Drosophila melanogaster: one gene and its partners. Changing the gene in region 2 together with the main gene of any one other region gives a genetic interaction. Each region holds a gene or a part of one and is shown on either strand. Other genes may lie near its edges.

Region 1 (4,826 bases), on a different chromosome or scaffold from region 2:
TATGTTAATTTCAACAAAAAGTGTAACTATTATGATTTCGAAACCTAACATTTCTAGGTTTGTTAGTTCCCGGAACTACTCTGCTAGTGATCAGGAACATGTATTCTATATATATATACTAAATATATATATAGTAAATATATATATATAGTAAATATATATATACTAAATATATATGTACTAAATATATATATATATATACTAAATATATCTATTCTAAATGTATATATATACTAAATATATATACTAAGAGAATATATATCGTAAAGGCTTCCATCTAGCTGTTGCATACTTCTATTTTAATTGTTGTTTACTATAAAAGCTAGTAGGTTGATATTCACCGTACAGATCCTAGAGACCAAGACGCAGCGCCACATTGTTGACTCATGTTGCCACGCCCACAAGCCGCACAAAACTTCCACGCCCACACTTTTGAAAAACGTGTTGATATTTTTTTTATTTTATTTAGATTTATTAGTCTTGTAAATTTCTATCGATTTTCAATTTTTGTCACGCTCACTTTAACGCTCTAAAGCCGCCGAACCAGTCACTCCCACGCCTTGGAACAATTTTAAAATTTTTTTTCATTTTACTCCTCAATATCTATTGACATCCCAGAAAAATTATGAAATTTCACATTCACACTAGCTGAGTAACGGGTACCTGATAGTCGGGGAACTCGATTATAGCATTCTCTCTTGCTTTTTTCTTAGGTCGAGTCACTGGACTTTAGAGGCCTTTTTTAAAATGCATGGATTTAAAATGTATTAAAGTAGGTTTTTTATTTGTCTAAAAAACTTCTTTGTGAAAAGCGAAAAATATTTATATATATATATACAAATATATTTTTTGTTGACAACCGAAAATAAACTTTCTTCGAAGACATATTAATACTAACGAACATAATTATGAGCAAGTAAACAGTTGAATTGGCCAATTAAGATTAGTGATAAGAAGTTTTACACATCTTTAATTTAGAATCAACCGATTTTTTCAACCGTTTTCAGTGAATAAATAAATTTCTAATATATATCCTCGAAAAATGTAATTTTCAAGTACTAATTTATAAAAAATATTTTGATAATATTTTTTAAATCAAAATGTTAAATTATTTGCTTTAAGTTAAGGTGGTCTAGAAAATTTAAATTTAACTCAAGCTTAATATAATATTGTTTAGTTTACTGTATTCCGTTGTTGAAGCCCATACATATATATATAAATATATATATTCGTAGATATGATTTGAAATTACATGGCGCCATCTATATCTGAAGGCACTTGAGTTTTGCACGTGTTATGTTGCCAGGTAAAATCCAAAAAATTTAACATACATACACAAAATATGAATAAAATTAAAAAATGGGTTACTTTTAATCTGGAATTACGTATAGAAAAAATGTAAATTAAAGTCAAATTTGAAAAGAGTCGTACCAACATTGGATGCTATGAATATTTTCATGTAAAATATTTGTAAAAATACATCATTTTGCGATTTTACTTGTAAAAATGTAAATTTACGCAGCAGTAAAATTCACATTACACAGAAGTACATATTTTTAAAATACAGATTAAACAACTTTATTATTTCTTAAGAATGAATTAAGAATGAAAAAAAAAACAAATTTAATAGTATCTATTACTTTTTTTTTACAAATTCGTTACAAACATGTGCTCGATACAAAGTTTGTGCGCAATGTTTCTCACGCAGTTATTTTCGAGCCGATGGCTCGTCCTTGTCTCTCTTGTTCCGCGTCGTACACCTTTATCGTTAAGTTTTATTTTTAAAGACCGAAAGAGAGTAAATCAGACAATTGTTGTGGCAGTATATACAATTTTGCGAAAAATCTATCTAAAGGAATCAATGCCTAAAAATAGTTGAACAATTTCCGGAAAGAACAATTTATGAACACAAATGAAAAAAATAATCTTTATTCGATTTGTCCATTAGAACACAAGTAGAATAATAACACGAAGTGTATGATGAAATCGAGTGTTTACATATAAAGTGTATTTATAAATTAAATATAAGTTTTAAAAATAGGATGTCATCTTTTGTTTCCATAATAATACTAATATAGTGTTGATCGATTTAGTAATATAAATATGTCGGAATAAATGGAGATAGTATATAAACCGATTATTGACCATATTAACAGTGAACTAAATAAGTAAAACAATTGTGGCTTCCTCTAACACAATGTGGAAATTACAATTAACAAACAAATAAAACAAAAAAAAATTACGACCTCATATTGCAACAGTCGAGCAACAGGGTAACGTTAATTAAAATGAGATTTCTATATAATTAAAAAAATGAAAACAACGCATGGATTCTGGATTATAACATAAATATTACGCTATCTAAATCTCATTAATATTGCAAGAAAATTTTATAAACAACGAACCCTGTATGAAATGTTGAAAAGTTGTACAATGGTGCTTGAAAAAGTACTAATTTAATTAAATTTGAGTCATCAAGGTGAACTAAGATTCTAAAGGTTAATAGAAATGTTTAAAATTTTGAAATACAATTTATCCAATAAATAATATAAATAAAATATAAAACAAAAAGTTAACGAATGACTAACACCGAACGGATTTTAACAGCAGGCTCCCACAAAATCCGATAATGCCACACTGTGGAACAACTAATAGTGAAATTAATTTAAACTCAAACGAATTAATCAGTTACCAGAAAAAGAAGAGCAATGAGGATCTACAAAAAAAGCACGATAAAAAATGTTCAATCAATTTGAAAACGAGCCAGGTCCCTGATGGTGGGTTCAATAACCAATATACGCAATTAACTGCCAACAAAATAGAACAATATAACTGCAATGATTTGGATAAAGTTTGTATTGTACCATCAAGTAGATCAGACGGAATGGAGGCATCGTTTTCCGAACTTCTTTTAAGTCCGAATAAATTAATTTCTCAGCCTTGGCAAACCGCTGAAGAAATAGAAAATTGGCAAAATGACAGTTTTCGCCAACGAAATGAAATGTTTTCTTGTATATATACGAATAGTATGCTAAATCAGCAGCCATGCTCGCAGCAGCAGCTTTTGGCCACACAACTTTTATACGCTCGGCTTCTTCGGTCTCAGCTAGCTGAACGGGAATTTCATTCGAATAAATTCAACATGGTTCATTATTCGGGATCTAAAAAGACCATGCTTCGAGAAGATGAGCTTCTGTCAACCCCATCTTCGCAGGATAATAATAACAATATTAAGTTAATTAAAGATATCGAAAACAGCATAAGTTGTGTAGATCCCCCTTTGTTTGAATTTTCTAACGTTCATCAAAGAGCAGAACAAAAAAATAAACAAGACGACAAAAATTGTTACTCACCAAAATTAAAATCGAACAAGGAAGCCCTAGATGGGTACGACTTACAACACACGTGTGATTTTATCAGGGAGCAAAAAAACATTCTTATCGACATTAAAAAAAAACTAGATAATCTCTCAGATAGCTCAGGTAAATTTAGGAAAAGGTTAAGTGTACGTCAAAGTCACATTGAAGTAAATAATGGCTCTAATTCAGCCCTTGAGGAAAGTGTAAGACGACAACTAAATGGAAATCGCAAGTCTATTGAAAACTTACTGGAAGAGGTAAAACGATTATATAATCAATGGAGCAGCGCTGAGCTCTATTATGTTCGCAGCTTACAACGATTAGGACTCCCATCAGAGGAAGATGGTGAATATACATCTACACCAACACATACTATCATGGCATTAGCTGCTATAGCACTGTCTAATGAAAGTATTTTGCCACAGAAAACAAATGCAGTGCACTCTAAGATTCCAGATGTTGAAAGTGAGTCCGATTTTTTTTTGACCTCAGCAAAACCTAAAACGTTGGTCGAAATAGAAGATATAATATTACAACTCGCATCATCTGTTAATATGCATCAATCCAGCTCTGCTAGCACCCCTCATGAATCCTACAGTGATAGTGTTAAAAGCGATTGCGAAGAATCAAATTCAGCACCCACTTGCATATGGCATTCGACAAGGCAAACCTTTCGCCACAAAAAAGACGTAGAGCCTTGTAGCACTGCAGCTGAGATTATTTTAGAATATGCTTCATTGTCTTCATCTTCTAACATTGAAACCTCTCGCTTGCTTACATCTGCATCAAATTTAACAGATGTTACAGAAAATTATAATGTCACAACGCAATTGCCTATTGTGTTTAATTACAATCGAGAAAGTTCAGCTGAGTCAATCGTTACCGATCCTCTACTTGTTCCTGAGTTTTCTACTGCACCTTCAACCCCATCGACTGGTAGTAATAGTGGATGCTCTACTGGAATGGTTTCTGGAATTTTCGGGCTAAGTCAAAACCGAAGAAAACAAAGACTTGCAAGGCACATTGAAACTCTGACTACAAATTCTTTTAAATCGAATGCAATAAGGGGAAATGTTGACAACGAAATCACTAATCAGCTGAAAACGTCGCCATCAATTAGAGCATTGCCAACTGAAAATGTTTCCCATTTAATTACTAAGACATTGTCTTCGGCTAATGCATCTTTAACAGCGCAGGAACTTTCCATAACTAACCTGTTTAAAGAGCGCCTATGCGCTTTACAGGGAAATGCCGGATCAATGAAAACTGAAATTTTTCCAATGATAGATGCCCCATACGACTTAAGTATTGGAAGCAAGACAAAACACATGTAATTTTATTTCGCCTTACTTGGTTAAACCCTTTATTTCTTTGTAAAACTGTTGAAGTCGATGCTCACTCCTAATAGTACCTATTTTCTTTAATGAACTGTTGATTATTGCAAGCAGCCTGTAGTTGTAAATTATA
Region 2 (5,138 bases):
GGTGTCTGATTCTAGAGCACAAGTGGATGCCACTTGGCTGCCGCTGCCTCCGCCTCTGGACATTGGCATTCTATTTTAATGAATTATCTGCACTTAGGCATCGAACTAAGAACTAACAACTAAGAACTAAGAGCTGCGACTATAGCGATCACCCGACAAGTCGGATGGATCTGAATGGAGTGGGAGGTGGCGCAGCAGAGGCGTACTGGTTGCATTGCAATGGCGAAATACAGATGTACAAACGCTGATTGGCTCAATTGGACGACTATTTGAACTCTGACCCCTGTGCGATCCTCATCGGCAGCTCTGCCCCTTCCGCCCCGTCCTCCTCCTCCGCCAGCCACCCTTTCACCCTGGAATTTCCCGATGGGCGACGCACCATGACCGAAGCTACTAATTTGGGCCAGTGATCGTCGCTGCGGCGATCACTTGGAAACGTCGTCATCGCCATCGCAGCTATCGACGGAAAAGATAGCACTTGAAAAAAATATCTCTATTATATTTCTTAATTAGAGTCACAATCTAAAAGTTCTTTAATGTTTCATATCACGAGGCTTACTCGCTAAACTATTTATAGCCATAAAAATACATGTTACTATTTATTACTTACCTAAATGCCCATTAATCTAGATTTTCTTTCAGTGCATACCCACGGAACTGAGCAGGGGCGTGCAGGGCGTGGGCGGGGTCGTCCGGCTGGTCGCCGTTTATGGGCATTTGACTTGAAATGTCAACGTAAACGTTGCTCGTTGCTCGGGGAGAAACTGGTTAGCCAACTGAGGCGACTGGAGACCCCAAAGCGGATGCAGTGCAACTGAGCGCATCTTCAGGCCCACCGACCGACCGACCAACCGACCGTCCAAGCAACCTGACGAGGAACCCCAGCCCCGCCCCCTTTCCAAAGAGATTTTCCGTCGCAGCCGAGCGGAAATGTTCCAACAATTTATAATTAAAGATTGCCAACTGGTTTCCATGAAGATCCAAGATTTATGGGATCGAAAACACCTATCAGCTAGCACCTCCAAACATTTTGTATTACAATAGAGCGCTTTTCCCAGGCGCGTGGCGCTTATTTCATTTTCGGCCAGGGGGTCGTATTCATAATTATTTCAAATGCTTGAGAGCATTATCGCACACTGATTAGAGTTCACGGAATTGTCTTATCTATGGTTTATGTGCAAAAAGCTCGCCAATAGTCACAATTGACAGCTAATGGGTATGGCATGCTCGATCATTTCAAGTTTCCAGTCACAATAGGTGTGTATGTTATCTAGTGAGAGAACGATCCCTTGGTATTTCGGCGCCCATGCTTCTGGTATCAGCATGAATCGTTTGTTTAAACTTTATCTTCTATTGATTAACAACTAAATCGAGCGCCCCACGCGAATTCGACGCCGCCCACAGACAGCGGTTGCCTATTGAGTTGTTTCGTAGTAAACTTTGGTGGGTTTTAAATTATTTAAATTATTACCTCTGCGAGCTGTTGCTTCTTTCGTTGCCAAGGAAGTGGATGGTGGATCTGTAAATGTTTACGCGCCTAATGATTTGTTTGTGGTCTTTGCACACACTCCTACTTCTCAGAGTATAATAACATAATCGAGATTATTATGGCAATTGTGGGGAATCTGGGAATTTTAAAAAATTACGAACATAAAATACGTATGTTAATTGAGATTATTGTGAAATTATTCCGGAATTGGAATTGGAATTTTGTGGCGCATGCAAGTCTCTCAAGCTCTGATATAAGATTGTTTATAAATATTGAAATATAATGAGCAGCTCAGGGGTGTCTTTCAATCGTTAAAACTTTAACTCATATAAGACTGGCGCATCAAAGCTTCACTGTACCTCAAAATATAGGTCCGATTTAAGATATAAATCTTGGACGCTAAAACGGATACGGATCAAAGCGCGACTTCCTTAAAAAATTATCTTATTTTCGTATTCTTCACCAGTTCTTTTTGAATTGTTTTTGCTGTATGTCGCTCTCTTTGCTTCTCTTTCTCTTTCGATTCTCTCTCCGCATGCGCCGACTTGTTCATGTTCGCCGCCTGTTCGAATCGAATCGGCAGTCAAAAAGAAACTGCCGTGCTGGGCGGACGTGTAGAAGAGTCGCTCCTGAAAGCAACTAGACATTCTGCTGTAAATGGCAAACTAATATGTTTTAAATTGATTAATTCACAATTAATAGAATTTAATTCGTGCGCGGCGTTGAGGAAATAAACGGTTCTTCTTAACTCGGTGTGTGTTTACATTGCCCGGTGTGTGTGTGCGCGAAACGGAAATAAAAAATAAACAAGAGCGACAGCAACAACGCCAACAACAACAGCAACATCAGCGAGAGCAAAGCAACGCAACAAGAAGTGCAAGCAAAAGTGAAAAGGAAGACGAAAGAGGAAATGCCAAAGTACAACAACAAATACACGAACAAAACGCCAGAGTGCAAGTGCATCGCGTGAGTGTCTTACAGTGTGCGTGTGCGTTTGTGTGCCCGCGTCTGCCTGTGTGTGCGTGCTGCTGAGGCGGCGGCGGAAGTAAAAACGCTTGACTTCGCCTTCTTCTTATTCATTTGCTCCGCTTTACGGCTGGCATTTGTCGCAGAACGAAGCGAAAACAAAAACAAAAACAGAGAGCCTGGATTAGCCCCAAAAGCACACAACCACCGCCCACGCGGCGCCCCTCACCAAAAGGAAACAGCAACACAAACAACAATGGCAACTTGGCGCGACGCCCTCTTCGTCATCAGCAGATAACAACAAGAACAACATCGAATTAACAGAAACAAAACCAAAAACAAAAATAAAACAAGAAAGCGAAGCAAAAGCTAAAGCATTCTGGGATCTGGACATATCCGCTTCCGCGTTGCTTCTGTCGCTAAAAAGCTCAAGAATCGAATCCGAAGCCCAACGCAAACAGACAAATTCACTCACTCACCTTACAGTACGTAACCACAGTGCACAGTGGAGCAAACAGGTGAGAATTTTGATAATTTGTATACTTTTTGTTGTGAACTGTTAAATTAACCATTGTCAAAATAGTAGCAGAAAAGAGTGTCAAAAATAAAAACATTTTTTCTCAATATGTAAGCACAATGGTTTTTATATCTGGAGTTCTTTTATATTCGTAATCGTGCAAGAATCGGTGTTTACAGACATTACCCCTGTATCACTCCATTGCCGTCGTTGCTTTTTTTTACGAATTGGTTAAAACACCATCTTTTGGTACATGTATTTCCCATAACTACGTCACAATGGTCATGGAAACAGAAAAGTGTCTTGTCTGAGCAGCTGATAAATAATTGCTCCACCTTAATCTGGCTTTGGTTATCTGCTGCATATGACTTCCCCACTTCGCTCCACCCGACGTCTTACAATGTCTGAGTTTTGGTCTCTGGTTGAGGTCAACAATTTGTCGGATCTACACGTGTAAACAGATAACTTGGGCTATATTTGGTTCGCAGTACACTCATATGAGATGGATGAAGACTCGGCAACAACGGTTTATCTAAGGTTTAGTTGATTTATTTGCCTGTTCAGAGGATCTGATTGTGGCGTTTTCATTTGGGGCTTGTTTAAATAATAAGAGTTACAATTTTATGGGGATCTTGGGAGTGGTTTTATAGTTTAATTATTGTTTTGTTATCTGATTGTTGCGCATAATTTGTTGTATGTTCTTCTTGTTTCCAAATATGATTAGATATTTCTTACAGTCTAGTTGGATTGTGATTAATTATTACCTGTGGTTGGTTGAGAACCATATGCAAATACTCATAGCTCAGTCTAGTAACAATATGATATGATAGTAATTTCTCTTCCCAAGCCCAGTGTCTTGACTCTCATTGTATGCACGGTACGCTTCACCGATTCCCTAGCATTCTACAATACGAACAAGATCGATTCACTTGGAAAATAGCCTCTTCTATTTTCACATTCCACTCCACATTACGGTACCTGGGTGCTTTTCGTAATGCCCGTTGCATCATATTGGCCAGGTCCGAGTTTTCCGCCACAAAAATGATGAAAACGGTAATTATCGGAGTGCATATCGGTGTGCTTTGCGCTATATGCTATATGCTATAGAACCGGGCTTTCGGAATCGTTCTTTCTGTTCGGTTCACGAGTCTCTTGTTGCATGCACTTTTCTATGGAAGTGAAGTGAAACAAAAGCGGAGCGTTGAGCTCCAATTAGGGTGACTCCGGCGACTCTGGCAAGCGTCAGCGAAATCTTATCGCAGGGGCGCTATGGCGAAAAGAAATGCCCACACTGTCATAAAAGCGTATGTACATACTTATGTGCATATACATATATGTAGTATGTACATTTAAAAAAAGTAAAACAGCCAGCGGAATTGTGTTTATTTATTTGCTTTTGCCGACCGACGACGTCGAACAAATCAGCCAAACAGTTCCTGCTTCTGCCGCAGCTATAAGGTATATATGTATGTATGTGATTTCAGGGGGTGGCGGTGGGGGGAGCGAACTAGACACACACCTGATCGTGCGCCACCTCCGTTATTTTATTTTTTTGACGAGAGCAGAATTCTCGCCAATAAATTTCATTATGTATAAAACAAACACATGCACTGTTTGGGTCAACTAAATAGCTCCCAAGGAAAAGAATGATTTACTGGTGGTGAAAATTTCACTTCACTTTTAAAATTAAAGTCACTTTTAAAATTTAAAAAAAAAATTGAATGTTCTATTAGCTTTAATATCTTATCGGTAAACACAAAGACCTATTATAAATAAAACGTAAACAATCCCCTAGGCTGGTAAATAATTTTATAACGCAATGTCTTTAAATTAATCTGTCCCTACTTACCTGCTTATGATTGTGCGCACGGATGTATTAAGATTTGTTTCTCAAAAATAAACAGTTTCTCTCTTCAATTAGCGGGAAACGAAATAAAATTTGTAGAAGCTGCGATTTCGCTTGGCTGTTTTCCTTTCCTGGTTCCCCTAGAGACTTGGCCTGGTGACCAGCCGGCGGCAGAAAAGCGGCAAAAGCAGCGTAAATACAATAAATTAAATTCACTTCCGCATTGCTCCCAACAAAAAGAAACAACGTAATGGGGAATGGGTGAATGTGTGCTGTTGTGTGTGTGTGTGTGTGTGTGTGTGTGTGAGGCGAAAGACAAA
Region 3 (7,943 bases), on a different chromosome or scaffold from region 2:
TTTTATTCTGCGTAATCAGATACAAAATATACAGTTACTTGTTAAAATCCGTTATAAAAATAGTTATATTAAATATATTGGTTATTTCTCGCGTATTGATTAACTTTTTGTTGTGTAAAAATACTGTATTTACAATTACACCTATTTACTTACACATTATCATATCAGTAAATATAAATAGACATTTGATTTATATAAATAATTTAGAAAATATGAGAAACCGCGTTTTGTTTTTGTCTTTTTGCGTTAGGAATATGTTTTTTATTTGTATCAGTTTCAGTTGTACGAGTTCCGGTTTGAAATTGTCTGCTTAGGATCTTTTTGCTTTCCGTTTCTTGTAAATTTGTCGTATATGTGGATTTTTTGTACATTTTATTTGTTTTTGATTGGACAGCCACTGACAGCGAATGTGCACTAGGCACAGTTATATAATATTTTTGATGGTGACAACAATCGTGGAGGTTAAATTTAGATCCGCCGAGGATTTAAATTCAAACTTCAACAATTTTTTCGAATTTTAGTTTTTACAGTCTACCAAAAAATGTAAGACCAAAGAGTAATCTCTTTCGTTTTGAAGTACAGACGAGTTGTATAGTTTTGGATTGCTTTTATCTTTTAACTATTTTAGAATAATTATTCCGAAATAATTAAAAGATACATTTTTAAAAGTACTTAAAAAGTTGGTGTCGTATACAATCTGCTTAGTGCAAATTCCTGTCAACTGCATTTTGGACCACGATATCAAGAAATTCTAAAGTTTTCACCATAGAATACCTGCACATGCTTGCACATAAATGTTTTTATAGTAAACTTCTTTTTCTTTTTAATATTAATTTTTGTATCCCTAGTTCTGTTTCCATTTTTAAAGGCACAAGCATTTTATAAAAATCTGTTCTTGTAGTTTTGTTAAATATACTTTAAAATGTTATATTTTGCGATTCGTAACTAAGTTTTTCATTTTTTTTTTCTAAAAAAATTCAGGTTCAGTCTGTTTCAAGGAAATGTTTTGATGAAAAAAACGTAACTCTTTTTTGAGATTCTTTAAGACTTGCATTTTATACATCCTATAGAAAATGTTTTTATTAGTATTTCTTTCCATTAGTCGGCATAGAATAAAATTCCTTTGCATATTTTATTCAGTTTGTCGAAAATAAAATTTCTCAACTGATTGTATAAAGAGTTCTGGAACGGGTTTAAAAACAAAGTTGAGTTTTTCATCTCTTTTTGTATGCGATTTCTAAATGTTCGGCCCTAATTGAGAACCTAGGATTAGGCTTAGGATTAAACAATCGGGTTACAACTAAACTATCAGCGAACTTATCAAATTATATTACGTGTATTGAATGTCGTCTTAAGCGCTACTAGTGCGAAAATGTTCTTAACTCGAATGGTTGGCCCAGAAACTGGGGCAGCTGGGGCGTGTGTATGTCTCAGTGCTTTGACAGATTCAGTGGTAAGTCTAAGGAAGAAATAAATAAGAAACGTTATTAAATTGTGTTTTACGTGCATTAAATTGACAACATAATAAATGGATCTGTAATATATTTTCTTCAGACATTCCCAGAGGAATGAAAATTGAATCATCAAACTGCTTGCCATTATTGGTGCACTGATTGAATGCTTACCTGAACTTTGTTCATTCCTTAGACTACTAGTATGAAACATTGCGGAGGAGCTGGCGCCCGAAGTGGCCGCCGAGGAGGAGGCCGATGCGCTCGAGCTGCTCGGCGAAGTGGAGGCTGTGCGATGACTGGACGTTGCAGACATTTGGTCGGTACTACTATCAGTCAGTTTTGGCGTGGCCAGGTGAGCGGGAGAGTGGTGGGTGGTCAGTGCAGCCGGGTGCGGATGCTGGTGCGGATGGGCCAAGTGCGGATGCGTGTGGGGACTGGGCGCCGGTTGTCCAAAGGCTGCCGCAGCTGCTGCAGCGGCAACAGCCGCTCCCACTCCGTTATACGCGAACGCGTGATAGGCCGATTGGGGCGATAATCTCGCAGCAGCAGCTGCAGCAGCGGCGGCCGCTGAGCCACCGGGTTGTGGATGTGGCGACAGCAGGGGCGACGCTCCTGTCTGATAGTGGTGCATCCACAGCGGATTGTGCCTCAACGCCGCCAGTGTGGATATGTACGGGTTGTATATCGAAGGCGAGGGAATGTATGCGGCTGCGGCCGCTGCTGCCGCCGCTACTGCAGCTGCACTGCTGTTCGACGTGGGCGGCGCCGAGGTCGGACTTCCGGCCGAGCCGTTCCCGTTCACCTGGGGCGGTGGCGGGTACATATAGTAGTGCAGCGGCGAGCTACGCTGTAGGTGCGGCTGCTGCTGCATGTGCCGCCGTTCCGGGGGCGATGCACTCCGGTCGCCGGGCGAGGGACAGCTACTGCTGCTGGCCGACGGTGAAGCGAACTCGCGTCGGATCGATGCAGTCTTTTTGGGCACAGTACGCGGCGTCGTGGCTGGCGATGCTGGGGAAGAGCGCGGTGGCGACAGGTCCTGCGATGCTGAGCCCGATGTGGAAGGACGACCTGCTCCCGCATAGGGATCCCTGTAGAAGGAGTGGCCATAGTCTACGGGTGATCCCGCCGAGTACGGTGGCGAACGCTTCTTGGTTCCTGTATGCGAGGGCGATTTTCCGCCCCCGCCATTGCTGCCACTCACATCGGGCGACTTTGGCGAGGTGAGCAGGGCGCGTGGATAGCTCGAGGAACTGGGTTGGTACATTGAGTGCTGTGGATGGTGCACATTGCTGATAATAGCTGCCGGGTGATCGCCGCACTTCTTGCCAGAGGAGGAGAAGGATGAGCTACCGCTGCCACTGCTCCCACCTAGCAGGGAGTGGATACTGTAAGAGCTGTTGAGCCGCGTTGGCTGCGTTGACAAGGTCGCTGGCGAAGTGCTGGATGAGCTGGAGCCGGGACTGGGGCTTGGCTTTCCTTGGGGTGGCGCCAAGTTCATTGGTGACGCCTTGCCAGCCGGAGACGATGTCGAAGTTCCCTTTGCTCGACTCCGTTTTCCTCCAGCACCACCGCTACTAGCTCCACCGCTGCCGTTGTTTACGCATCCGTTGTCCTCTAGCGACACCTTTTCGAACTCGCGCAGGATTCTTTTCCTGGGCGACACGTGCTGGGTGTGGTACTCGACTAGTCGTCCGGCTGCTGTCGCAGAAGAGGGTGGAGAAACCTAAAAGAAGATATTTAAGTGGTCAATTCAAAGTTTTTTCTTTATGAAAGTCCCTAACTAGATTTACAACTTTAACATAATAAAAATGTTGCAGTACATGATTAACATTTGAAACCGCAGCTTATGCAGGTTGTGCCAAGTAAAACTTACTTTGTGCGTCAAGGCGTGACTTAGACCGCCACCAATGCGATCTGAAGACGTCGTTGTCGATGCGATCACAGCTGATGTCTTCGACATTTGCTCAAGCCGTGCTGGTACGCTATCGATGAGTTTCTGAATGATGCTGCTGAGCTTGGCTTTTGGCTTCGGCTTGGATTTTGGTTTCCCAATGCTCGCCTTTAGATCGCCGTTTAGATCACCATTTACGGCATTCGTGATTCTGGGCAGCTCTGTCATGGGTTCCTCATCCTCGCTCGTATTCATCTTCATCTCAACATCAACAGTCTCATCTTTTGGTTGTGGTTCCACTTGCTGACCGGGCGATGCTTCTTTTGACTCGCTATCATCGCTAACCGCCTTCTTCGGCTCCTTTTCGAGCCGTTCAGCATCATCCTCGCCTTTGATCGTGTCCGGTTTTTCAATTTTAATCTCATTTGTGGTTGTGTCCGCCACAGCAACATTTTCAATTTCAACGGCCTCTGCAGCTTCTGCTTTAAGAGTATCGTCTCCATTTTCCGCCTTGATTGCCGTCGCAAAAATGGGCTGCTGATCCTCGCTGGTGGTAAGCGGCTCGTGGGGGCGCCGTCGTTTGCGAGCGGCTGTCCGGAGAGCAGCTCGGCCAAGCGTACTGTTCCTGGGGCGGTGGAAGAAGAGCGACAGCTCCTTAGATATGCCGCGCCTGGGTCGGGACTGTTTCCAGGGCTGGTCTCGCTGCCAAGGAGAGGATTGTATCGAGCTGTTGTCGTCCGAAACTGCAATGAAGAGGAATATTAACGCAAGGTATACATAGACAAATTGTAGTAGTTAATTATAGTTTGGCATAAATAAATATTTGCTTTTGTTTGATTCAGATTGTTAACAATTTATGAAATAGGATTTAAATGTATACAAGGATGGGAGGACATTATATTTTATAGGATCGAATTGGAAAACTGTCATACAAAGAACATGACCGATTCTGAACAGTTTGGTTTTTTCTTACTATTTCATTAAAACGTTTGACATTTTCGTAGATTTTAAATATAATATTAGAGATGGCCGATATATACAGTTTTAAAATAGATCAGAGATTTGAACATAGGTGCGGTCGTTTTTTACAGATTTTTTGTTTTCGAAATTGGACTTTATCCTCTACGTGCCATTAGAACAATTTAAGTCAAATAGGCACATGTTTTTTATAACTGCAAGTGTTTGTAAGCTTTGACCGCTCGGATTAAGCTAGCTATCTACACATGTTTCAAAATCCAATTCCTTTTACTCAAATCTGATTCCAATCGGGTCAAGTAATTAAATGGAAGGGGTAATCCGTTGGGAACTACTATGCCATGTGTTACGTACAGCTCAGCGATGTGGAATTCTCGTTCTTTGGATACGCTGTGGTCACCGCCGACGTTGGGGTCACAGTTGCGGAGGTGGCCGCCGATGGAGGGCGGAAGGTCTTGCGCGTGACCGAAACCCAGCCGCTTTTATCGCCATCCTTGGACCGCGCCAGTTCCAATATGAATTTGCCATCTACGCAGAATAGTTAAAAAATGGTTTTCTTTACACTGCTCTGATTCGGTATAAATAAACCAAGATACTTACCTTTAAAGAACTGCAAACGACCACCGTAGCCGCCCCAGCTGTTGTTGCCGTGCGTCGATATTGGTGTCCTGCCCATATCAAAGCTTCCGCCGGAGTTGCTTCCCTTGCCGATCTTCGCTGTTCCCGCTGCCGCCGCTACTACTGCAGTGGTGGGCAGTGAGCCTGTTGCAGCTCCGCCCAAGGAACTGTAGTCCAGGACGCCCCCCAGGACATCGATGGTGGGCTTGGACGCAGTAGCTCCAACGACGCTGGCTGCCACTGCGGCGGACGCAGCCATAATGCTACTACTTTTGGGCGTCTTGGCATGCGGCAAAAAGCCATTTGAGGCGGTGGAGCTGGAGGATGAGGGCGTTGTCGTTGTCGTGGGCGTGGTCGTCCTGCTTAAGTTGGCGGGCAGAGGCGGTGGCAGAGGGGGGTAGCTGGTGCTGCTACTGCCGTTTAGGCCATTTTTCAGTAGAAACTTGGCGGCCGCCTCTGCAATTATGCTACTAGTATTGTTGTTGCTGTGGCTGCTCTCGTTGCTGGTGTTGTTGTTTTTGCTGTTGCTGCTACTTGCTGCGTCGTCGTTGCTGTTGTTGTCGTTATTGCTGCTGCTGCCGTTGTTGTTGTTGTTGCTGGAGTGACTGCTGTTACTGTTAATGTTACTTTTATGCTCATCGGTCATTGTTGTCTGTCTGTTGCACTCTGCTACGCTTGTGACGTCATTAAGCAGGGCCTTCAAAGAGAAACATTCGTTTGCATTGGGCAAGTTAGGCACAATTTCGCATTTCCAAACCGCATTATATGGACAATTTAAATACCATTTAATTCATTGTTTTTGTTGTAAATTCCTCGCGCAAAGTTCGCGGCCGGGAAAAACGGAGCCGACGGCGTCGCTAAGCAAAATATGCCAGCTCGGCACGGCGTTAGGAGCGTCTAGCACCATTTTCATGTTTTGGGGCACGGTACCGTTCCCTATTTTTATTGCACACACATATTCTTATTGCATTTTGGCCATTGGCCCATTCCACTGTACGTTATTTAACCAATTTCACAGGCACACACGGCGGGCCGTTCTGCTTATATGTGTTTCTTACAGGCCCAAATGTTAAGCGGAGGCAGCGCACAAAGAGAGCACAAAACGAAGTGCGGACAAGGTGGAGATAAAATGGAAAAAACGTTCTCCAATTACCGTCAGCGTATATATCGATTGCCGAATAGTGTGTGAAAGCGGAGGTCGGTGGACCGGACCGATAATTCCGTGGTCAGCGGGCAGTTGGGGGCAGCTCTATTTCCAACCAATAAACTAATAAATAAATTTAAAAATTATCAACGAAAAACGCAGCTCGGTGCGCTGTGTGACCGTCAACTAAGAACGTCAAAATCCACGGCGCCAGTCAGCATGCTAGCAAATATCATGTTTCCACTGGCCAATGTTATAGTGCTGCATTCGCTGCACGTTCACATTAATGTTATCTCAATGTAAGCTTACACACAGGTCGCTGCAAAAAGCTAGTGCAAGGAACTCCCAAAATAAAATGCTTAATAATAAAAAGAATTGTGTTCTTTGAACTACATCTATTTGGTAAAAATCCTAAATCCTATATTTTTACAATTCAAGTCAAATAAGATTACGAATTCTGGCAATTAGCGATAGTTATCAATGCTTAAAAGCACAATCTTTAGCGAACGATTTTTAAAATAGTAACGGTTTTAAATATGAAATAAAATAAACAACTAAAATCACAATCGGGACAGTTTATAAAACGTAATAAATGGTCGCTTTTTATAGCAATTGTTCAACTCAACTTTAATTTCAGGATTGAAATTGGAAAACTTTGCAACCGAAAACATGCTTTTAAAAATGTTTGATTAAAACAATGTTGTATTTTCACTAATTTATGCTGTTTCCAAAATATATTAATTAAATTTCTAGCACCTGAGATTATTAATTTGGAATACCTGTAGGGTTTTAAAGATTTTCAAGGCGAAAGTTTAAGGATATGACTTAAAGCAGTTAATAATGTTACATTGAAAAGTTCTTCTTTGTCGTAGAATAAAATATTTATTTATTATTAAGTCCAGAAGTTAAACATTAAGCGATAATATGGTATGTTACGATAAATTCCCACACATCAGCTAGGTAAATACTTATGGTTGCAGGTGTCTTTTTATTGCGTATAATACTGTTTGCTCGTTTATCGAATTTCTGGTAATGGTGAGCTCGGGCGGGTTAAAATATATATTTAAATAGCCCTTGCATGCGGAGTACAACCCTTCTTCAGCTTCTTAAATTTAAACACAACTCGTAATGTCGCTTTCGCCACCGCGGCCATCCGCCAATTGTTATTCAGATACTCTGAAGTCCTAATGCAAAATATAATGTAAGTCTTACGCGTCTATCATGTCCGATTATCAGTAGGTTAGTTTAAGTATAGGCTACATTCGAGTTGCTTTTGATATGGGCGAAAAGTCGTCGATTGCACGAGAACGGCTAAGAATATATGCTTAGTAGATATTGCACAAAGTAAAAAGTAAGACATTACAACAGAGGGCACACAACGTAATAAATTAAATTTAGTTTTGTCTTCCGTTTGCCAACATAATTCAAATATCACAGACGTTTTGCCAATTGTTTAACTAATTTGCCGATTTGCTTCATAATTTTGCATGCCAAACTGGAAAACAAAGAGTGATGGGAATCAAATTCAAGCCGCGGGATTCGATACATATGTATGCCTAAAGGTCAGTCAAATGTGGAAAATGTGAAATCAAGTCTTGTGTTGAACATGGCACGTAATTGCTAAAAGGAAAACTGGAGCCACGCCTACGAGGGTAAATTGCTATGCCTATCATCTATGCTTTTCTCTGCGTGTAAGTACTAAGTGTTCTCTAACTGCTGGAAGAATGTGAGTGGATAAATCCGGAGCTATTGCATGCTACCCGATGAGCTCCAGCCCGCATCTAGTGCATGTTGCCCGATGGCAGACCCAAGGCGGCGCCCAGGTTAAGTCCTGCAGGGACACCCACTCCTACTCCCGCGC
Region 4 (5,171 bases), on a different chromosome or scaffold from region 2:
GACTCGCCCTCGCCTTGTGGAGAGTTTTTAATTAAAAGCAAATTTCATCTCAAATAATGCCGCTAAGCCAGCAACAACAATTAAGCAATTAATTTATTTCAGCTGTGTGGCACTTTGAATAGCGGGAAAAAATCCAAGCCGAGTAGTAAATGGCCCGGCAGGCGGCCAGATCGGATCAAACCTGTTGAATCGCGGTCCCAGAACAGAACAGTTCTGGGCAGTTCCCCTTCGAGAGAGAGTGCTTAGCCAAGCGGGTATACCAGATACTCGTCCCGTCCACTGACCGTATTTCACGAGGCAATGCAAATTGTCTGGCTACAGAGCGGGGTTAAAAGGGGTGGGCCCTAGGCAACCGAGGGATGCATTTGGATCGCCCTGCTGAATCACTTCAGCGGTGATTCATGCCGAGAATAAACGTAATTGTCTGTGGGCTCCATCGAAATTAGTTTCCAAGCTAATGTAAGCTTGCGAAACAATAAAATGGTGTGCAAGGAAAGATCAATGGAGGGTATGGCGGGTTATGCAAGCCAATTTTTCACCAGTCGTATAACTTGCTCAAAGCTATCCCCATACTACACGCTTTCATAACAGAGGGTCCACATATGTAGATATGTTTAAAACCAAACCTAACTAACCGATTGTACTTAAAGAAAGCGATTAAGGCTTCCATTATCAGCGTATAAAGAGAGAGATAACGGCCTTCCTAGACATGTCTTATCTGTCGCCCAAGTCTGGTCCCTCAATCCTTTTCCACTATCAGCGGTGCCAAAGTCAAAGAACTCCCATATCTATGCCAGATATATAATCTTAGATGCGGGGAACTGTTGCCGTTTCCCAAGAACACGCATTGATTGACGGTCTTTCCCATGCATGCCTAATGATCCTTCAAATGGGCCCTAATAACGACCAGCCCCCCTTGGGATCGGATCAGGTAACGCCCCGTCCCGGGGGTTACCCAAAAAGCGACACGCTCCCAAGACCCATCAGGCAGTTGACCAGTGGGTTACGTGTGCCATCGTGCACAGCAAAACTAGTGTATAAAGTTTATATTATCTAAGGTAGCGATATTTTCTAAAACGTAAAGAAACAATTACGTTGCAAACAATTCTCTCAGTGCAGGGCAACCCCAGCAACAATTATTCAACTTAAAGTCGGTGCAGCGGGGAAAACATGGAATCATTTCGGTTTCAGTTAGAAGTGTGCGCGAGCGTTCTCGAAAGGGGCGCTGGGGGGCGGGGCAGTCGGTGGGAGGTTGAGCGAATAAGAGAGTCGAGCATACGAGGCACGCTTTTCCGATCAAACCAGTTTGTCGTAATAGCTGGCATTTGGAATTAGTTACTGCCGATATATTGCTGCACTTGGAATGCGCCCAGATAGAAATTCCCGCACCACGCCCCTCGGCGACGATCCTCCCCTTTGAATAGAGAGTTGACTATTTTTAGCGGGCACCAGAACTTCATTAAAATACAATCAATTTGCAAGTGCAGCGCGGAGAAAATAACAAACAAGCACCAGCCACCCACTCTCTCTTTCTCCTCTCTCTCCCCCCCCCCCTCTCTCACACTCTTCCATACTCCGGTGTTCCCAAAGAGAGCGGAGAGATGGCATTTATGCTGAGCAGGCACAAGCAGAGAGGTGAAGATGGGACTGAAGAAGAAGCAGCCGCTGTGTCGGCAGAATGAAAACGAGGACGACCAAACTGCATTGTTGTCATATTTCGTAATACGCTGATGCAGCAGAGAAGCGAAGGGGTGGTGGGCGCAGAGGTGGAGCAGCAGGTCACGGCGGTGAGAGAGAGCGAGAGCGCAGGAGACTTGTTTTCAACACCAGCTTATCAGCGGGAGAGCGCGAGAAGAAAGAGCATAAGGGCAGAGCGCCAACGCAGCGGCGAAATGGAAATGTCAAGTTGGGACTGCGCTCTCCCTCGCTCTCGCTGCCAGCAGCGGCTGCGCTGTTCTCTTAACCATTTGGAGCCCCATTCAAATGTTCGATTCTTGCCATTCCATTTCGTCCGCTCATCCGTCCACATCCACTTGCGTTTTTGGTGCCCTGCGAGCGGGAGAGCAATGTGAAACGGGAGCACTACAAATACCGCCCACTACCACTACCAATTCCCATACTCCCATATTCCATGCTATTCCCAGCTCAGTTCGTGCCGTGTGATCAAAGCTTTCGGTAAGGCTTCGGCTCGGCTTTGTGTATCCACCTTAGCGGCTCTCTGTGGTGCTCGTTCTGCCTCTCTCTCTCTCTCGGTTTTGGGGCTCAGCTCAGGGACAACAAATGCGGTAAAATGGCTTCTGCGTCGACGTCGACATCCCTGCCGTTTCAGTTCTGATTGGAGGTTCGTGCGCGGCGTTTCCTCAGCTGATTTCTTTGCCTTTTGCCTTTTCGCAACCCGCTTTCGGCTCCGTGTTCGCCTCGGTTGCCAATTACGTGTAACCAACAACAAGAGAAGAAACAGAAACAACAACAAGTACTTTCGAGTGTTGCAAGCCTTCTTCCGCCGAAGAAACCGCAAAACGGATTACCAAGAATATTTGTAAAATTGGTAAGTGGTGAGATTATCCACGAAATAGTCTTCGAAAAAGGTCAAATCATCAAGTGTTCAAATTTAAACGACAAGTTTAAGTATTCTTATTACCTTCTTAAGACTTATCTTGAATCTCAGATGAGGATTTTATTGATTAAGATTCAAAAGTTCTTTAACTGGCTTTTGTTTCTGGAGTCCGTAGTGATTTTTTTAAAGATTTGAATGTTCACTGAATTATATTTTTGGATTAGAATCTAATCACTTTAAACAGGACATCGCAGGAGTCGAAAACAATTGATGACAAAATCAGCAGTTAATAGCTTTTGGATTACAGAATTATAGCAATAAAAGCCTGACAAATTGGCCAAGGGTCGTTTTGGAAATCTAGCAGTCTTAAAAGCCTAGCAGATACATTTTCTTCTAACAATTTCCCGCTCACACGCTCAGTACATGCACCAACACACGCCTATTGGAAAGACGCTTTTGTATCCAACTTATACAGATAGTGGTACAGCCACAGATACAAATGCACACATGCCGTATACGGCACATGGGGAGTAATGCCGCCACACTAGATACCAGATACTAGATACATAGATTCGTCCGCCGCTTATTTGTCGGTCGTGCTTCAGTGATCTCTGTCATTTGCAGTTGCCCATTTCCTTTTTTATCCCCCACTTCCACATCCAGTCGTCATTCGCCCGGCGCACCCCTTTTGATCACTCTTCCAGTTCCAGTGCCTTCTGGTGGCTTCCAGTGGCTGCAACACTTGCGGTGTTTTTCTGAATGAACCAATGGAGTGAATGTGTGAATGAGTAATCCATGTACGCAACATGTTTGCACTGCACAAATTATTTGGACTCAATGTATTGATTGTGTAACTCGGCTTTACGTTTATTTAATCGCAATAACTAAAGTGAGCTACAACTCTATACGTTGGTTACTATTCTTGGGAGGAAGGAAACCTGACAACCCTGGCCAAGGGGCAACTCTACACTTGCACCTGTGCTCCACGCTAAGCCACAAATTCAATTATGCAAATCAAGATCACAGCCCAAAAAACACAATCTTCGTCTCCGATCTGCATTTGTCTTTGTATGTTATGTTTATTTGTTACTTCTGTCGTTGTTTTTAATTCGCTAACCCACTTCACACAGTGGCAGCAACAACAAAAATCGTGAATTATACTTTGTATTGGGGCGAAAAGGAAACGAATGCCCAGTCTCAGATCACACATAAATTTTGCGGTTGTTTTGTTAATGAAACGACAAGAGCAGCACTATGCGCTCTTTACTATATATTTCCCGCTCTCCGCGAAAGCTTTTCTGTTTGTTTGCCCCACACACACAAAGACACTTGTGAACACCTTGCGCTCACTTAACATTATGCTCGAATTATAACTGTTGTTTAGCCGGCGATCGAAACGGTTAAAGCAGCAATGAAAGAGGGAAAAGAGAAAGAGGATGACATGACTAACAACGCAAACGCGATCTGAACATATGCATTGTTGTTTTCGCTCGTAGAAACCCATAAAAAGTCGAAACAGTAAAAGTCCAAGCGGCGTATACGCAATATCAGCGGGGGATAGGAAAAGGCAGAACTCTCTTATCTATTCTTCTCTCACTCTCCCTTAAGTACACAGGGCAAGAAATGTTAAAACATTTTTAACAAATAATGATTGAAATAATACAGGAAATTTTTCCGGTGCATTGGTTTAGTGCACGTGACTCTTTCACAAATTCTACTTAAATGTATCTGCCATCTTGCGCCGATTTCCTGCCCCTTTTTCGTATTCAACAATTATTCGGAACCAAATTTGCACAATACATTCCTTGATTATTGTTATTTAAAATGATTTTATATTTATTTATTTCATTCGCAAGTGCCAGCTGCCATGCTAAATAAATGTCTGTTGTGCGCGGTTTCCCCGTGTATATTCATGTGGTATACCTTTTCATCCACACGATACTCCTTTTCATATTCTGGGGCTTGTGGCATTACAAGTAAATGAAATTTTTCTTGAATGCATTTCTGATTTGAATCACCTTCGCGGAGAACGCCAGGTATTTCGCTTTCGGGGTTCTGCTGCCCCGATTGCCCATCCTGATAGCATACAAGTCGCGCGTGTACCCCATATATCTCCTTTTTTAATTAGCAATCTGCACAAAAACTCCGACTACTGCAAAAACCTAAATTCAAAAGTGGAACACAAACAAAAAACGCTCAAAAGTCAGCAAAAAAATGAGGAATCAACGAAAAATACAAGAAACAGAAAAGGTCAGTGACCAAAATATGTTTTGTAACTCAGGCAGAAATCTTCGCGAAAAGAGAATGGGCCGAAAAAAGCTAAGCAAAAGACGGAAACCAGAAGGCAGCAGTGGTAACCCTCCAGATATAGTTACAGTTGCCCAAAGATCATAAATTTTTACTTACATGGATATCAAAGATTCATAATAAATTTAAAGAACAATTACCAAATAAAACCTAATGTTATTTCTTAAGGATTTCTAGTAATTTCCGGACCCCAAACACGTAGTTAGGCTTATTTCACAATTTCCGCCTGCTGGCTGAAATTAAATATTTTTTTTACCGTTTTAAGCCTTTTGCAGGCCTTACAAGCATACATACGCATGCACTATAA

The links.
Region 1: of aop (region 2) and pan, changing one suppresses a phenotype caused by changing the other (phenotypic suppression), as found in Drosophila melanogaster (2 studies listed by BioGRID).
Region 3: of aop (region 2) and H, changing one suppresses a phenotype caused by changing the other (phenotypic suppression), as found in Drosophila melanogaster (3 studies listed by BioGRID).
Region 4: of aop (region 2) and ttk, changing one enhances a phenotype caused by changing the other (phenotypic enhancement), as found in Drosophila melanogaster (3 studies listed by BioGRID).

The regions. Positions count from the first base shown.
Region 1 is NC_004353.4:88,585-93,410, forward strand, and holds the start of pan (pangolin), read left to right. Parts: upstream 1-1,770; 5' UTR 1,771-2,629; coding exon 2,630-4,689; intron 4,690-4,826. UniProt on the Drosophila melanogaster protein: Segment polarity protein. Functions together with arm to transduce the Wingless (Wg) signal in embryos and in developing adult tissues.
Region 2 is NT_033779.5:2,175,682-2,180,819, reverse strand, and holds the start of aop (anterior open), read left to right. Parts: upstream 1-2,065; 5' UTR 2,066-2,973; intron 2,974-5,138. UniProt on the Drosophila melanogaster protein: Ets-related protein that functions as a negative regulator of photoreceptor development acting antagonistically to pnt and the proneural signal mediated by RAS. It acts upstream of SINA to inhibit R7 development.
Region 3 is NT_033777.3:20,620,276-20,628,218, reverse strand, and holds the start of H (hairless), read right to left. Parts: upstream 6,282-7,943; 5' UTR 5,724-6,281; coding exon 5,721-5,723; exon of another isoform or gene 5,636-5,720; coding exon 4,921-5,635; intron 4,849-4,920; coding exon 4,675-4,848; intron 4,089-4,674; coding exon 3,328-4,088; intron 3,178-3,327; coding exon 1,626-3,177; intron 1,460-1,625; coding exon 1,431-1,459; 3' UTR 1-1,430. Other genes in the region: CG5466 (uncharacterized protein), read right to left, coding at 7,864-7,943. UniProt on the Drosophila melanogaster protein: Is a potent antagonist of neurogenic gene activity during sensory organ development. The expression of distinct cell fates by the trichogen (shaft) / tormogen (socket) sister cell pair depends on the level of H activity.
Region 4 is NT_033777.3:31,711,722-31,716,892, forward strand, and holds the start of ttk (tramtrack), read left to right. Parts: upstream 1-2,145; 5' UTR 2,146-2,548; intron 2,549-5,171. UniProt on the Drosophila melanogaster protein: Binds to a number of sites in the transcriptional regulatory region of ftz. Isoform beta is required to repress inappropriate segmentation gene transcription and repress genes incompatible with development of photoreceptor cell fates.